Arabidopsis thaliana: one gene and its partners. The protein of the gene in region 3 purifies or fractionates together with the protein of the main gene of each other region. This does not show direct contact. Each region holds a gene or a part of one and is shown on either strand. Other genes may lie near its edges.

Region 1 (6,652 bases), on a different chromosome or scaffold from region 3:
AGTTCAACAGCGAGAAAGTTGCTTCATTGGCTTATGCACGAATCCAAGGTAAAGCTGCGCTTATTGCTCACTTTCAGAACTCAAGTTTGATGAATGAAGATAGGAGATGCCAACCTATTGTCTTTGATGGATCAGAATCTAAATATCCGGTAAACAATCTCTTACAACAAACACATGATCTTAAAATGATCATTTATCTTTTCTGTGTTTATCTGATGAACTGGTTGACTCATACATGTCTATTTGAAACTAGATCATCCGGGAGAATTCGCAGCTCGAGGCATCAAATTCAACGGTTTCTCATCCTCTTGTCGGCGAGAACACACATCAAAGCTGACAGTCAAGTGAATCACGTTATTGCCTCTGGTTTAAAACGTAAATATCAGTTTCTAGGATGAGATGATGATGAACAACAACAAACTACTACATAGTACCCTTTAGAAACATTTCTGGTTTTCTCAGTTCCTTCTAGTTTGCTGGTATCCAGAATTAGAAAGAATTATTGTTCTAGACATGTGAATTGATGGTTGTGTTTTACTTTTGTCTGGTTGGCCAAATGATCTCTCCAAATTGTATACATAGGATAGTTAAGATACAATCTTATTGGTGGTAATAAATAATGTACCTTTGTTCTAATTAATACATTTGGTAAGAGACCAAATTTCATTAAATTTTATAAGCCTTGTAACTCAAAATTTCTACTTTATGCTTGAACTACCCTCTGTTCCTCTTGACTCAACACCTAACATTGTCTTCACTTGAAGATCCACCTGAAAGAAACACCGTTCGTCTTCTCGGACATAACTCACACGGCCATTCATCTGCTCCAATAGTTTCCGCGAAAGCTTAAGCCCTAAACCATCAGGGGTGACCCATCCATCTCGAGTCTCAAACATATCACTTAGCATCTCTGAAGGAAGTCCTTTCCCCGGATGTATCATCCTATCATAAAACAACATCGAACGTTTTAAGTTAAAAACCATCAAAATCTGCAAAACGGCTGCATTGTGAAAAGAAGTTGTTTTCAGTTGTTTCTGTTGACGTTTACCTGAACTGTAGATGGATATAGCGACCATTGTCACGTGAAAGCTCCTGCCCTGGTGAGATACTGATACCTACCCAACTATTTGGAAACGGCGCATGATTCACAATGTTGCGTAGAAGATCAGCAAGAATAAGCTGGAGCTTGACTCTGTCACCATTGAGAGGCAGAGTTTTGATCTCCTCGGCGACTTCAACCCTTAGTTGTGAGTTCCTCTCTCTCAATATAATCATCACTTGGCTAATGATTGTGTCCAAGATGTTTTCAAGTCGAAACTCTTCTGTTTCCAATTGCAACTTGCTGATCTCATAAAAGAAAACATTTGTTTTTCAGATTCAAAATGTAAAAACTTCAGTAGGTGAAGATTCAAAACGTTATGCTTTACCCTTCCTCAATGCTTTTCAAGTCCGTGCTTTCGATTATTGTCGTGATTTGCTTCTCACAAGCATCACTAGTCTCCAGAAACTGCCTTTGGCTAGCTGAAATCTCTGAGGATTCAAGAAGCTTATGTGCAAATCGGATACCGTTGAGAGGATTCTTGATTTCTTGTCTTACGTAAGTTAATTCGTTGAGGCTTTGAGCGCTCTCTTTCAGTTCTGGGCAGCTCAACCCCGATTCCTTATTGATAATCTGCAAGAAGAAGAAACATCTTATAACTTTTCCTTCGATGTTTGTACTCTTGTTCGCGGTTAAGGATGCTTCTATGTACTTCCCTTCCTTATTAAAGAACTCAACCAGTGAACTCTCGGGAACATTATCACCAGCAATTCCTTGGTACAGAGAGATCAAGAACTTTGTGAGCGAATCTTGGCATTTCACTTTACAAAAGACTCCAAAGACTTCACCGGGTAGCATTTTCCCAATCACCTCGTGTTTTGACCATCCCGTAAGCTTTTCCATTGCTGCGTTCCACTCAGAACAACAAGCATTTTCATCTGAAGCAAATATCGGTGGAATCAAAGGATTTAAGCTTTGAACAATAGTCTTGTAATCTCCTTGCAATCTGATGAATCTATCTGTTATTGCTTTCTCACTAGTGATGTCTTGACCAACGAAGCAGACACCGATGATATTTTCAGTATAATCCCGACTCGTGCAGGAGTTAACGAGAACACACACATCAGAAGAATAATCCGGATGATTGTTTTGACCAAACTTTCTCAGTTTCAGCATTACACTTTTCTCCTCTTCACCTGAACAACACAACATATCAATGTTACAACACAACATATCATTGTTTTGTTAGTTGATAAAGCTCATAACATGAAATTTGTATGGAGAAAATCTTCTTTCATATAACCTTGTAGGGCTTTGCACAAGAGACTTTCAAGAGCTGCGCGTGATTCCTCTTGAACAATCTCATCGGCAAGTGACTTCCCCATTGCTTCACTAGCTAGTAATCCCGTCATTTCAGCGGTTTTCTTGTTCCAACCATTAATACATCCGGATGAATCAACCCCAAAAATAGGTGCAGTTGCGGTTTCAATCACCCTAACCATTTCACACACAAAAGAAGTAAGCTCATTAGCATCTCTTGCTACGCCATTACCAGACAAAACTGGCCTAGAGCTGGTAAATGACTCTCTCATTATAAGTCTCAGGGAATGGATAGCATCAATTTCTGAGATTTCCCACGGCAAGCTCCTGCTCTTCGCAACTTCAAGAAAGGCTGTAAACGATGACCTCGGATGCATTCTTCCGGCATCATCTTTATCCTTTGGATGATGTTTAGCTCCTCCCCATTTGATTGCACTTGCAGTATTGGACCTGAACCAAAGTAAGTAATCTTTTGAAGAAAATCCTGCGGCAGCCACACCACAAACGGCATCTCCAAGTGAGATGGCACCAGGGTATCCCGCATCCACCAAACTATCAGTGGTTAAACCCGTCGAATCATCACCGTGATTCTCCACCAGCCAATTCACCAAGTCTTTAACTTGTGACTCATTAGGAGTAACACCAACCAACCAACATTTCCCCTTGTAATATAACGCAGCTCCATCACATTTCACAAGGTCCATAATACCCGGAGATTGTGTAACAATAGCGGAAACAGTATCACGGAGAAGCATATCGCACAACAAGGTCTGCGTCCGCATAGCCTTCTTCTCGGCTAACTGTGATGCTAACTGAAGTTCCATTTGAAGCTGAAGCCCAAATGCTTGCATCAGAAACTCACAAGCATACCGCAACGGGAATGGAACGTATCTAGGAGAACAATGATGACCAACAACTAATCCCCAAAGCTTGCTCGAATCTTTGCCTTTTACTACAATTGCGAGTGCAAGAGAAGCTACAGAGCCCATATTCGCCATATACTGCGTATGGCAGCCATGAGGAGCTCTTAGAGTAGAATTAACTAAACAAAGTGGTCTCTTGAGTTCCTCACTCTGAACAACCTTAACCGGAGTTGCATTGCAGTCACAAATCATTCGGACACGGTTCTGTTTGAACAAGAACCGAGCAGCCTGAGGAATATCTGTTGCCGGATAATGTAAACCCAAATAAGGCTCCAAATCAGACCTTCTAATCTCAGAAACAACTTCACCATGATCATCTTCATGAAACTGATAGACCATAACACGGTCATAACCGGTAAGTCTCTGAACATCTTCCACAACAGTATCACACAAGGCACCAATATCTCCTCCGGGAAGTGACTGCAGCCTAGAAATGGCCCTAACGGCTAGCTTCTGAGACTGAACTGCGCCTGCAAGGGTCAAAGCCGGATCACCTGATTTAGCAGGCTCCAAATCCATGACAATCCCTGCATCAATCCTGTGAAGAATAGCATAAAAAGGCTTCTGGGTCGTCCTAGAATGGACCAAAACAGGATTCAACAAGGAAATCTCAGTAAAGGAAGCAGCTTTAGACAAAGAAGCTCCAGAGGAAGGAGTAAAAAGCGTCCTTGCATCGATTCCAATCAAACCCTTGACTTTATCAAACTCACCAGAATGGGAGGTGGAAGGAAGAGACAACAAACCAAGAAAGTCAGAAGAGTTGTCACTAAGACCAAGTATCCTAAAACTAGGTTCTTCGACAGCAATCAAACAACCAAAGGGCTGAACTAGACCGCCTCTTTGGATGTTAGACAAGTAAGCTGTGATGTGTTCATCAGGAACGTGATTGGGAGGTGAAATAACAGATTTGGAGTAGTTAAAAGACTTGCCGGTGTAAATGGATTGAGCGAAATCAGCAAAGAGAGCAGCATCAACAGAGTATTGAGCAGTGTTGGATTTTTGAGGTTGAGGTTTCATGTTGCTTGCAGCTGAGCTTGAACTCTCGAATCCCATAGCTTAGGGGAAAGTGTGGAGTGAGTTTCGACCAGAAGAAGAAGAAGAAGAAGCTGATTCTGTATCATTTGCAGCAAGAGAAAGAAAGAAGTAAAAAAAGTTTCCTTTTTGATATTTGGGATTCGTTTTTACCTCAAGATTCTTCTTTTCATGTTTTGTTTTGCTTCCTTCAATGCTTTTTTTTTGCTACTCTGTTTGCATTCTCTCCCACACGTACAGCTTGTTCGGTGACCACCACCGATTCACTTTCATTTTTTTTCCCTTTTCTTAAATTGCTTTATTTTTGTGAATAAAAAAGTTCCATGGAATAAGTATTTTTTTGTTACTCTGAATCTATTGAAGAAATGGCTAATGTCTTTCTCAAATTTAATAGACCTTCAAAATTTCAACATATTTTGGTCAAAACTTTCAACTTTGATAATGTCCTCATACTTCTGAAAAAAAAACAAAGTTTCTTTTGAGCCAAATTTGAAACTATGTTTAGTCGAGAGTTACCAAAAGCAATCTCCAAAGCATCTAAACGACTGATGTTATGTAAGAAATCAATGACTTTCTTGGTTCATAAGAACCAATGTTAGAAAATATGATTCTTCTGACAGGTTTATTAACTAGTAACAAGAATATATGACTATCAAATGTTAATGAAAACAAGTTAACATTGTAAAGATGTACATATTGGCAAGTTTGTCAGGGAGCTTAAGACCTTAGACAAAACCTTAAGAGTCAAGTTAACACAGAGAAGAACAATAGTCAGGTCACTTCCTTACGCCTAATCAAAAGAACTTCTTGTTGAATGATCTGCACAATAAGGACCATGCCAACAGAATCATGAAACTTTTACTGAGAGTTATAGATTAAATAGCTTATTATAATACCACAGAACCACCAGATCCGGGCGCCCATATACGATATTCCTCCTTTATGAAAGACCACAGAAGCTAGAAAATTCGATAAATTCACGAAAAAGAAGGTTCCAGATTGAACCTCTCTTCATTTATATTACTGACAATGCAGTAGTACAAAGATCTAACCAACAGTTTGAATTTACCACAAGGAGATAATGGCTGTTGTTAACCTCCAAAACTGATATTTCACTCAATAGTTACTCACTTTTATACATTCAGTATCTCAGCTTCACCAACTGTACATTTAGAACACTTAAGATTTCAATGATCTATTATCCTGGCTAAAACAAGGGTTACGCTTTACTTGTGTACTAATATCACCGAGCATTATTCTATGGTTCACTAATTAAATAGCACCTAAGAAGTCTTGAGGAACTAAACTAGTCTATGACTAAATCTGTTAAAGAAACCCAGAATCTGCAATCAAGATATAGTGGAAACAAAAGGAAGAGATTTCTTATTCCTTGTTACCGAATCTCTTGGCAATGACAGGACGAACATCGTTGGCATCAGCCAATGTCTCTAAGAAGGGAAGTAATGTAATCAGACCATCATCAGTTGGATCATCATACCAACTTTTAATAGGGATCCCATTGTTTATTTGCAATCTGTACACCTGAAACAAGAACAATGAGGGTCCATGTAATACTCAACTAAACTACAAATTCTGCACTGTAACTATCGTTCTTTGAAATTCGATTTGCTTGTGGTGTCTATCACTGAGACTAAGGTAAAAGCAAAAATTAATGAAACAAAGGTAGTGAAGTGAATCCTTTAGAAAATACCTGTGGACAGTTGTCAACTATAGCCACTTTTGCTAGATCAAGACCCAAAACGGTTAAATCCTTGGTATAAATACCATCTGAAAGAATGCATGAATCCCGGTAAAAACGTTGCGATACAAACTTCCCATCTGGATCCAATATATCTAGAAGCTGAGACGCATAGATGCTGTGACTAGCCGTGAAGATGACAACATGAAAAAGTTCAACCACCCTCTCTAAGAACCTATAAAGGTATGGTCTTTGTTTCACGTAAACAGTGTTCTCTTGCATATTGAAAGTGACTCTGAAGGAAAAGTCTGTATCTCTACAGACTTCCAGAGTCGAATGGACCAGAGTTTCTGCAATGTCATTTAAAGATGATTAGTAAGTGTGGTTGTACCATGGAGGCAAAACTTAACCAAGTGGTTCATATCATACCATCCAAATCAAGAACAAGGGTTACCGCCTTCCTTTTCGGAGAGTCCCTAGGCTGCTGCATATCCGGGAAATAATTGAATACCACATCAGCTAATTCTGGTTGATTTCTTAAGAAAATCTGTGGATCAAAATCTTCAGTTTGTTCAGCTTCAGTGTGATTCTCTGCTGCTTCCAAGTTTTTTGATCTTGACCGATTAATCCTGTTATCCT
Region 2 (7,575 bases), on a different chromosome or scaffold from region 3:
CAACCATTCAGAGTCTTTTATGCTAAACAAAATAGTTTTAAAGATCTTTCACTCACCCGCCTGTTGCTTCTGATCCACGGGTTTGACCTGAACCGCAGAGGAAACAGCGTGAACATTAGTGAACCCTGGAGGCCCAAGCTGATGTTGTTGAGTTTTACCCATACCACCACCTCCTTTCATGTTATTCGCTGCAGATGCAGCCGCTATGGCTTTCGCTGGATCTGAAGTGGCGGTGACAGCTCCCGTGACTGGAACAGCAGGTGCTGAACCTGACTGTTGCTGGTGTCTTTGGATGTAATACCCACCAGAAGGAGATATGGTGATCTGTTGCTGTTGATGTTGATGTTGAGCTTGCATATAAGGATTAGAGAAGAATAGCTGTGCTTGCGGCTGCAGCCCATGCTTTGGCAACTGCTGCTGTTGTTGCGACTTGGATCCAGAGCTCGTGGTCGGGTTTCCGAGAACAGAAGGACCATTATTCCTTCCACCAGCAGATGACGCCGCAGATGCAGGCTGTAAGTTCTTGGACGGCTGAGATGCTGAGTGAGTAGTTGTGGAAGCTTGTCCACCTTTGTTTGCCGCCGAGGAAGCAGAAGCAGTTGTTCTTGGGCTTCCGCTGGCATTTTTGGAGACAGACGACGTCGAAGGCGACCCAACTAACATTGGTGGAGACGGAGCCTGGTGGTTGGTTCCTCCTTGTACCTGCTGCATTGGTGAACCAGAAGTCATTGGTTTTGAGTTTGCTGCAAAAGATATCTGCGATTGCTGGGGACGGCTTTGCTGTTTATGCGGGATGTTTCTTAGCGAAGATGCAGCAGCAACTGATGTTGATGGCGACAACATCGAAGGAGACTGAGCTTGGGTAGTATTTGTTGTCCTGGGTGAATTGTTTTTCCACTGCTGAGACTGAACCTGATTGCTACTCGACTGGACAAGGTTTTGAGGGAACCCTGAATTAGCATTTGCAAACTTGGTGGTTCCCGCAGGTGATGTGGTCATATTGTGATCAGGGAAACCACTCCCGTTACTCACCACGGGCCCTTTGGTTCTGGCAGCAGAAGCAGCCACTGAAGTTGCATACCGTTGCTGCTTCTGGAGGTACATGGTGGTATAAGGTTGCTGCGATTGACTCCGTTGCATATGCTGTTGCTGCTGTTGTTGTAGTAGTTGTTGATGATGAGACGTGGGTAAAGAACCCGAACTCTGTGGCAGAGCAGAACCAAGGTTGAGTAAACGGGATGAGCTATCAACGATGCTACCACTCGTGACAGCAGAAACAGATGCATCAGCTAAATCCTGTTTGTTAGAGAAAGCAATAGACTGCCCACCATTCCCACCACTCGTTTTCCCTATTGCCCCTCCTCCTGACTTCCTTTGTTCCTCAGGGGTATTATTAGCAGTAGCAGCACCACCAATAGACCCAGATTTTCCATCTTCTAGTGAAGCACCGTAGTTCATTTTTTGTTGAGCTGCTTGAGCAGCCATCATCTGATAACCTTGCCTTGCTGCTTCGGGCATGCTGTGGAACATAGCGTGATTCTGAGCAATTGATGACATGTTTAGGGTAGGAGCAGTGTTAGCCCCATTGAACGTCGCAAAAGTCATAGCATAACCCGGTGACTGGAAGGATTCTACACCAGCCTTTGAAACCTGCTGCTGTGATTTCTTTTCACCATGACTGCTCGAAGATCCAACCACCCCACCACCAGGGGCAGGGGAACTCATCAAACCCAAGTTAGTTGGTTGCATTTGCATACCATAGTTCTGGCCATAGGCAACATTGGAACGAGAACCCCGGCTATCAGCAGTTGATGGGCTATCTTCCCCTACAGTCTCACTATGTTGAGTAGCATTTTCTCTGGGTTGCTGCCTCTGCTGAAAATTCAAAGGCTGCGATTGCACTTTATGAGTTGGAAATCCTTGAGAGTTCCCATGATTAATCGGTGGCCTCAACTGTTGGTTCTGCAGATGCTTTTGAGCTGCTGAGGAACCAGTGGAAGCACTCCCATTCTGGTTGTTAGGAGCATGGCTCTGGAGCATTTGACCAGTTAGCTGCTGCTGATGCTGCTTTTGTGGCTGATGATGTGGAGGCTGGATCATTTGGGAGGAATAGAATGAACCATTAAAAAATGGCATCGGCTGCCCAGGAGCACCTCTATAAGCAGGTTGTGCACCAACATGTGCTGGAACTGGAAATGGATAGCCGTTATTCTGCAAAATGGCCAGGTACTGCGTTTCATTTCCCGGCATGGCAGGATAACTGAAGCTCATTGTTGGGGCACCAGCTGGAGTAGCTGATGCAGAACCATTCATGGAGGTAGAAGTAGCTGTTGGTCCAGAAGATGTGATGCCACTATTAGGAGGTCTGACAGATGCGGCAGCTATTGTAGCGGCAGCGTGAGGCTGTTGGCCCAAGGGGAATATGAATGTCGGACCATGCTACAATGAAAGTAAAAAAACAATCAGCTTATAAGAAGGACGACAAAACCTGATGAGAAACATGATACATGGACTAAAAAAACTAACCAAGATGCTATTAGCTGCTCCTGGAGGCAAAGCTTGTTGAAGCATTAATTGATTTCTTTGAGCTGTCTCTGAGCTTTTGGACGTAGATTGAGAATTCTTATCTTGAACAGGGTTGGAACTTCTTCCCAAAACACTCCCCTGAAGTTCTGTGGGAGGCATAAGACTGAGATTGCAGGCCTTGGTCCCATACATTGGAGCTGAGCCTGCTGCTGCAGGCCAGAAAGGATTCATCTTTGTGAATTGCTGATGAGATTGAATATTCCGAGCAATGTAGCAGTGTGTAGCACATCGCTTCGGCCTTGGTTGATTAAAAAGTAAATGAGGTGGAGGCTGCACAAGACCAAAATTTAAATCAGTAAAGGCAAAAAAATATAAAGAGAAATATTAGAATGGCACATCCAATCAAAATTACCTGCATTGCTGCAGCTGATAAGGAACTGGTATCCGTAGGCACAACTCCTTGTGTAGGTGCCATGTATCTGTTTAATCACAGAGTTTTACATTAGTACAACCAAAAAATAAAAAGGAGACTTAGGAAAAGTATCACATGCTTAAATTACAAAGAAAACATACCCCATTGTAGGAAGGCCCCCAGGCCAGCCAGGCATAGACATATGCAGAGGCAAATGGCTAGCTTGAGCTGGAATTTTTTAAAAAGAGGCCCAGTTAATTCAGTATACAAAAAACGAAACTAGTCCAGTCAGAGTAAGAAGAATGAATCTCAAGAAAGATGAAAAAGGCCTACCAGTTTTATCAGGAACAGATAGTTGCTGTTGCGGTGGCGGTTTCTGAACATGATGCTTGTTTACTAAACCCACATGATCAGATTTATCCAAGTCGAGTTTGAGTTCACAATTCCTCTCAAACTTATGGTGTTCAGCTTCAGCAACCATTCTAGGTCTCTTCTTCTCCTGAGAATCATGAATCGCCGGATCACTTCTATCTTCCTTAAGCAGAGGCTTTGCTTCCTGCTACATGCATTAGTGTGGACACAGGAGAGAATTAAAAAAAAGAGGGAGCCAAAAAGATGAAGATAAGAAAAAGAGAGCCAAAAAAAGCAAAAATGAAAAAGTAATGATGGATATCCCCAATTATCACAATATTACCAAACAAAAGTAGGCCCCACTCACCGTTTCCACTTCCGTGACTTTAGGTTTAGCTTCTGCCGCCACACATTCCATCATCTCTCCGCCTCTCTCCGACGACGATCTCACCGGCGGTGGCGCCTGAACCGACGGACAATTAATTTAGTACGGAACTTCAAAAAAAAAGGAAAATAAAATAAAATATATATGTTATTGACACTTACCATCAGATCTATCTCAAACTTCTCTTTTTCCGGCGAACTCCTGCATGATTAAAAACAAAAAACATTCAGTACCAAAACTTGGGTAAAAAATCCAGAAAAAATGAATGTATAGATTGAATGCTTACGATTTAGCTCCTTCACCATCGGATCTAAATCCTGAAGAAGATTCCACTTTCGGCAATATTGTTTCGTCTTTTGACAGATTGTTCTCTTTTTTCTCCGAATCTAACGAAGCGTTGCTTTCTCTCGTCAGTGGTATGATAGAATCCAATACGGAGCTGTTTCCTTCGCCGGATCCTGAGCTCTTTAGTTGATTACTGAACGGAACTTGACTTTTTGAAGGAGCTTCGGCTTCGGATTTGATTGTAGTGACGCGTGAACTGTTATCGTCTTCGTACTTGACATGTCTCGGCTTCTTTCTCTTAGGAGCTGAAGCGAAAATGGTAAAACAAAGTGAGCAAAAAAGAAAAAAAAAAACAAAAATAGTCGTTCCGATTTGTGAATGGAGAGAGGATGTTACCGATGGCTGAAACATTAGAGGAGCTAGAATTTGCAGCTAGTGTGATAGATGATTGAGGAAGAGTCTGAGGATTTGAGATCGGTGAAGAGACTCGAGATTTGACTTCTACAGTTGATTTCGCTGCCTCCGTCAAATCGTTACCGGCTGCTTCTTGTTTTGATGTGGAAGGCATCCTCATCATACCATACAACACTTCTGCAATCTCGATCTCGATCTCGTCTTGTACAGCCACTGGCGATGATAACTTACTCGATGATGACTTCGGCGGTAACGGCTTCTGTTTCGTCCCCGACGGCTAGAAGCAAAAATATATTAGTCAAAGAAGAAGATGGAGATGGAGAGATTTGAGTGTAAATTTTGAGAGACTAACCAATTTTTTCCTGACGGAAATGCTTGATGAAGAAGGAGACGTAGGAGCAGGAGGAGACGGAGATGCTAAAATCGAAGCCGGACTAACTCTATTAGCTGGAGACGTTGATGATATTTGCCGATGGATTTGTTCACCGGAAGCAAAAACACCACCTCCGGTAGTACTTGACGCCCATGATTCATGAGGTCTCTTCGTACACGCTGCAAAAATCGAAGAAGAGATTAGAAGAACTGTGAATCGAGATAGATCAGCGAGAGATATGTTTACAAATGTAAATTTCCACCTCTCTACCTGACCGAGCTTTTCTAGGAACCGAAACACCGATCATCTCGTCGGCGGCTTTCCACGTCGAGACAAGAGGTGATACCGGCGCCGGAGAAGGAGACGATCTGAAAACTTTCGTCGGCGGAAAATTATTCTTCCTCTGATGGTTATTGTTGTGGCTGTGATGGTGGTGATGGAGATTACCGCTACCTCCGTTGTGATGATTTGATAGAGACGATGAAAACGATGCAGCTGAGATATTATTGCTCGTCGGAGGAAGCATCTTCAACGAAGAAGGTGGTCCTACACCTCCGTCGTCATATTCTTCATCGTCGTTGACACTCTCTTCCGAGCTATCGTCGCCACCGTCGTCTAGATTACCGTGAACCATCATTAAGCGTTCTCCTCTCCGCCGTTTACTCCGGCTATTTAACCGATCTCTCTCCCTATCTCTTTCTCTTTCCCTCTCTCTGTCTCTATCACGTTCCCGATCTCGATCCTTCTTATTACTCCCTCCTCGATCTCTCAACCTCGCCGCCTCCGGTAACTCCACCGGACCTTCCTCCTCTGTGAAAAAAACGTTCAGAAAAATCAGAACCAAACGTTTTCTCTCAGATCTGATGAAAAACAAACCAAATCAAGAGATTCAAAAACAAACCTGGTGAATCTCTGAAACTTCCGGCTCTATGTCTCCGCCGGGAAAGACCATTTCCGGCAGCCGCCATAGGTACTCTTCTAGCTTCTCTATTTCTATCCATCTTCTTCTTCTTCTTCTCTAATGCTTCTCCTCTCTATTTCTCTTCTCCCAAATCGCAACCCCTTTTTCTCTCTCTTTATCAAACTCTCTCTCCTCTATCTCTCTACTTGCTTCCCATTATCTCCTTTATTTGTGCTCCTCATAAAAGCAGAGTAGCGAATAAATCCACGGCTCATATCTCCTGCCGTAAAACATTTTCTCAATCTTCACCGTCGGTGTGAATACATCCAACGGTCACGATACGCTATATACCAGCGTGACAAAATCTTGGCCCTCCGTTATAAGAGATCTCGCATATAATAATAAATAACCGATATTTCTTCTTTTATTAATTATTTTACCACCGATTATTATTTTATTATTAAATTAAAAAACGTATTCTTTAATTATTTTATTAGTCAGCATCCGTAGGTAGGACCCACTCAAAAATGATATCTTATTGTTATGATATTTTAGTATTTGATAACATTTAATTTTTCGGTTTTAAAAGAATATTATTTTCGGAGTCGGATTCATGTGAAAAAATTATTTTGGACTGTTACCAGTTATTAAACAGAAGCTGCCACGTGTCAAGAGTTTGACATCACACGCTTCCGTCTATATTATCGCTACCAATATTTTATTGACTTTGCACTGTCTAGAAATAAACAAACAAATAAAAAAACAATAAAATATATTGAAAGTCGGAAAGATTAAGATAATAATATTTAAATCTAAAAATAATCATCAATAGTATATTGTGCAATAAAAAGGCTCCTGGGGTAGTGTACTGTTGTCCACTAATCGCGATGACTCGTGTGAAAAGAAAACAAAAATACTGACATATACACGCACAAATATGATGTTATTTTAATTATTAAAATTCAAAATGTGTCTTGAGAAGATGTATCACCGGCTATTACCGGTAGACAGAGACCTTGGTAAAGGCAATCTACGATCAGAATGGAATCTTTGTGACCACCTATACAAACCGATCCAACCGGTAATATTAATCACATCAGGTTCCACTTCTCTACCTTCATCTTTTTTTTTTTTACTTTTCTCCATTAAGATCAAATGGCTAAATAGTTTTTTACTTGCCACTAACTATTTTTTTTTCTTCAACTCATGGAAAATAAATATTCAAATATTTACTTTCCTTCTTATTGATTTATTTGATATTTCTTACGTGCATGCAATAAAAGCTGTTAAATTAAATTTACCTTTTCAAATATGCCAGGTTTGCAAAATTGATCTTTTAAATTCTTAGAATCTAATAATTAAAAATGAAAATATATGGAGAATAATATTGGAAGTATCTACCACATTTTTAATTACTAATTTATCAACATTCTTAATTTATAATGAAAAAATCTAAAAGAGAAATTAAATCTTGATAATTCCTAGGTTAGATTAGTCAAATTGACATAACTATAAATTTCTATAAAACTAATTAAATCTGGTCATATTTGGATATTTCTAAAATAGTAATAAACCATATAATATCCTTTAGATTTTTTTAATTCTATTAGGGAAGGTAAGCTAAACAATAAACCTATAAAGTAAGGAAACAGGTCCTACCATAGTCTAAAATAATTTAACTCATTAATTACAAATCAACGGCCAATACCATTTGTTGCCAATTAGCTAAATGCTCTCACAACCGTTAGATCGTTTTATATTATATTAGTATTTTATTTTCTTCTATTTTTGGTTTTTAAACAATCTGACTTGGCAGAAGAAAACATCATCCAAAAAAAAAACATAAAATAAAATAAAAACTAAAAAAGGCGTTGAGTTGGCACCCGACCCGTTGATCTGAACCGTTCGATTTAGAAAAGATTAAACGG
Region 3 (2,698 bases):
CCTCATGATTTCCTGCGGTAATTATCTTTATCACTCTAAATCATCAAAGCCAACCCTTAACAGATCAATAAGTCTACTAAAAGAGAAATTACAAGTTTTTTTGAAGGAAGAATCAAACACATTCCACATAACATATAATATGCAGTTGTCTATCGTAAATGTTTTACCTTGACAATGGTTTTCGCAAGTAACGCATAATGGTCGAGAAACATTACATTTGCGACGAATTTGAACCTTATTCCCATATATCTCGAGAAGGTGACATTGCTTCATTTATGGGTATTCACCAAATAAGCATTCAATATGAATGGTAGTAATAAAGATTACCACTCGTACTTCTATGAACTTGGATTCAAGTTAGAGCCATTGTGAGTCCACTTCTGAATCTTTCCACTTACCAACCCATTTAGATGTTGCAGAATTACCATTTCTATTGGTTTTCCTATCTGCTTCTTTATCTTTGAGAAGCCAGCTTAAGTTTTAGCGCATTTAGCTCTTATTGCAAGATTGCATTGTGTCATAAAAGGTCGTTCTAAGTAAAATCTGGCACATGTTTTTCCAGTTAGTGGATTCATTTGTGAAACAGTTTGGAAAATGTTGCGGTTAAGAACTGTATTGCCAAAAATAAATTAAATGTTTTTCATCATTACTCATTGGTGACTGAAATGAATTGAGGTCCCTATACTCTTATTGCTTCTCAGCATCGAGTTGTTTGTGCATCACCATTGTCATGACTCATGATTTTTAGAATCATTTATGCAATTCATCATCTTAATCATTATCATTATAGGATGATTGTATCATATATAACAGTCGAAAGGGAAGGGCCAAAAAAAGTGAAATAAAGTTTTGTTCTTTGTAATGGAAGAAAAAGTTGGGAGGAGAATCATGGTTTCACTATGGTTCTTTGGAATTTTGATTTTGGTAGTTAGTGCCCAGGTTCCGGGAACCAAATTCTGATCATACTACAAAAAAATATCTTGCGGATTATTGTAGCTCTTGTCTTGCATAACATGAAGCTTGGAATTAACTAAAGAAAGTTTCTTAGAGATTCTTCTTCTTGTTTGTTCTCTAAAGAATCTAACACTCTTTGTAATGTTTATCTAAACTTGGAACTAATTAGATGTGAAACACTACAATTCATTAAACATGAGATCATGCGTATAGGAATTTGGTTCCTGCTGCACCGTGGCAAGTCGTACACCATATACCTTTTTCCCTATTTTATTCATATTTTACTTTATATTCACTTTACAATAAATATCTTTAGATATTTCTACAATAAGATCCTTATCTCTCTCCATGGTTTAATTAAAAATAAATCCAAGAAAAGTGCATAAAAAGATATGTACTTTTTATTCCTCTACCCAATCACTTCACAGCTTCACTCACGCGCGTGTTCTTTGATATCAGATAGATACGTCTACGTGAGATACACGCTCTTGTTAATCAAGTGGTGATGAAACAGAACTTACTCGCCTCGGTGTCCGATTCTACTCAGAAGATATTTACTATAAATATCTGATTTCTCTCGACTTTGACGAAAATCAAAAAGAGAGAAAAACACAATTAAAAATTATTATGAAGAGGAACGGCGAGACGAAACGGCGGAGGAACGTGGCGGAGGAGGCAGAGCAGGGAGAGGATCCGGCGATGTGGGAGAATCTTGACCGGAATTTCAGACAAGTGCAATCAGTTTTAGACAGAAACAGATCACTGATTCAACAAGTCAACGACAATCACCAATCGAGAATGGCTGATAACATGTCGAAGAACGTTGCTTTGATTCAAGAACTCAACGGAAACATTTCCAAGGTTGTTAACATGTATTCTGATCTCAATACTAGTTTCTCGTCGGGCTTTCACGGTGGGAAGAACGGTCACGATGGTGGTGGTGCTGCCGGAACTAGAGCTTAATGAACCGGAATCAAATTGTTTCTTCTTAGTTGGACCGGCCGGTTTGAGAATTTTGAATCTGTCCGGTTCAAGCTATGATATAAAGTAAATGTTTAGTTTTTGTATTGCAATGATGATTGTCGTTAGAATAATCCGTGGGAGCAAACCCATCTCTATTGGGGTTATTTTAGTTATGGTTTTGAGTCTTTTTCAATGTGTCTCTACTGCAATCTCTCTAATGATTATAATAATAATTGATACAGTATTAGATTACTTCTGGTTTGATTCTATTTAGAGACTTTTCTCATGTGACCTTGATAATAAATGAAGGCTTGTGGTTAGATTGTTGCAACTTGGAGTAAGTAATTTCGTCACATAGTGATGCAATTTGGTATGACATGTTAAATACAGTTGTTTTCTAGTGACTTTTCACTAGGCTGTGTATTAGAGAACTCTAGCATAGAAAATTTCTACGTTGTGACAATATTCATTTCCATCAAAAAGCAAACAGAAACTGCAGTAAAATAAATGTTGATACATGAGATCATGATCTAAAACCCAGGCAAACTATTTCGGCATTCATATACCACTAGAAAGCAAAGATCTTAAGAAGACGAAAGAGCTTTTGCACAAAAAGGACTAAAAAGAAGCATAGTTATTTGAAAGGGGACAAATGGCCAATTTCATATCAAAACATGAACTATCAAACCTATAAGTTTTTTTTGGGATTAAAATGGCATATGAAGAGGTTTAAAGTGATTAGCTCTGCTGTGACTGAGTAAATTTATGATTTCACTACTTT

What was found. The genes of interacting proteins can lie anywhere in the genome.
Region 1: the proteins of ELF4 (region 3) and PHYE purify together in Arabidopsis thaliana (affinity purification with mass spectrometry, with the first as the bait; one study listed by BioGRID). This does not show direct contact.
Region 2: the proteins of ELF4 (region 3) and TIC purify together in Arabidopsis thaliana (affinity purification with mass spectrometry, with the first as the bait; one study listed by BioGRID). This does not show direct contact.

Annotation. Positions count from the first base shown.
Region 1 is NC_003075.7:10,041,614-10,048,265, forward strand, and holds PHYE (phytochrome E), read right to left. Parts: upstream 4,734-6,652; 5' UTR 4,336-4,733; coding exon 2,343-4,335; intron 2,236-2,342; coding exon 1,428-2,235; intron 1,343-1,427; coding exon 1,049-1,342; intron 943-1,048; coding exon 699-942; 3' UTR 524-698; downstream 1-523. Other genes in the region: SSP4b (SCP1-like small phosphatase 4b), read right to left, coding at 5,105-5,133, 5,712-5,856, 6,026-6,363, 6,443-6,652. UniProt on the Arabidopsis thaliana protein: Regulatory photoreceptor which exists in two forms that are reversibly interconvertible by light: the Pr form that absorbs maximally in the red region of the spectrum and the Pfr form that absorbs maximally in the far-red region.
Region 2 is NC_003074.8:7,911,353-7,918,927, reverse strand, and holds the start of TIC (time for coffee), read right to left. Parts: upstream 6,024-7,575; 5' UTR 5,748-6,023; coding exon 5,648-5,747; intron 5,557-5,647; coding exon 5,017-5,556; intron 4,926-5,016; coding exon 4,726-4,925; intron 4,651-4,725; coding exon 4,356-4,650; intron 4,265-4,355; coding exon 3,961-4,264; intron 3,876-3,960; coding exon 3,836-3,875; intron 3,753-3,835; coding exon 3,657-3,752; intron 3,498-3,656; coding exon of another isoform or gene 3,495-3,497; coding exon 3,272-3,494; intron 3,167-3,271; coding exon 3,100-3,166; intron 3,006-3,099; coding exon 2,939-3,005; intron 2,857-2,938; coding exon 2,527-2,856; intron 2,440-2,526; coding exon 57-2,439; coding exon of another isoform or gene 49-56; exon of another isoform or gene 1-48. UniProt on the Arabidopsis thaliana protein: Regulator of normal clock function. Acts in the mid to late night. Contributes to the amplitude of circadian clocks. May act on the transcriptional induction of LATE ELONGATED HYPOCOTYL (LHY).
Region 3 is NC_003071.7:16,733,764-16,736,461, reverse strand, and holds ELF4 (EARLY FLOWERING-like protein (DUF1313)), read left to right. Parts: upstream 1-1,549; 5' UTR 1,550-1,581; coding exon 1,582-1,917; 3' UTR 1,918-2,168; downstream 2,169-2,698. UniProt on the Arabidopsis thaliana protein: Component of the central CCA1/LHY-TOC1 feedback loop in the circadian clock that promotes clock accuracy and is required for sustained rhythms in the absence of daily light/dark cycles.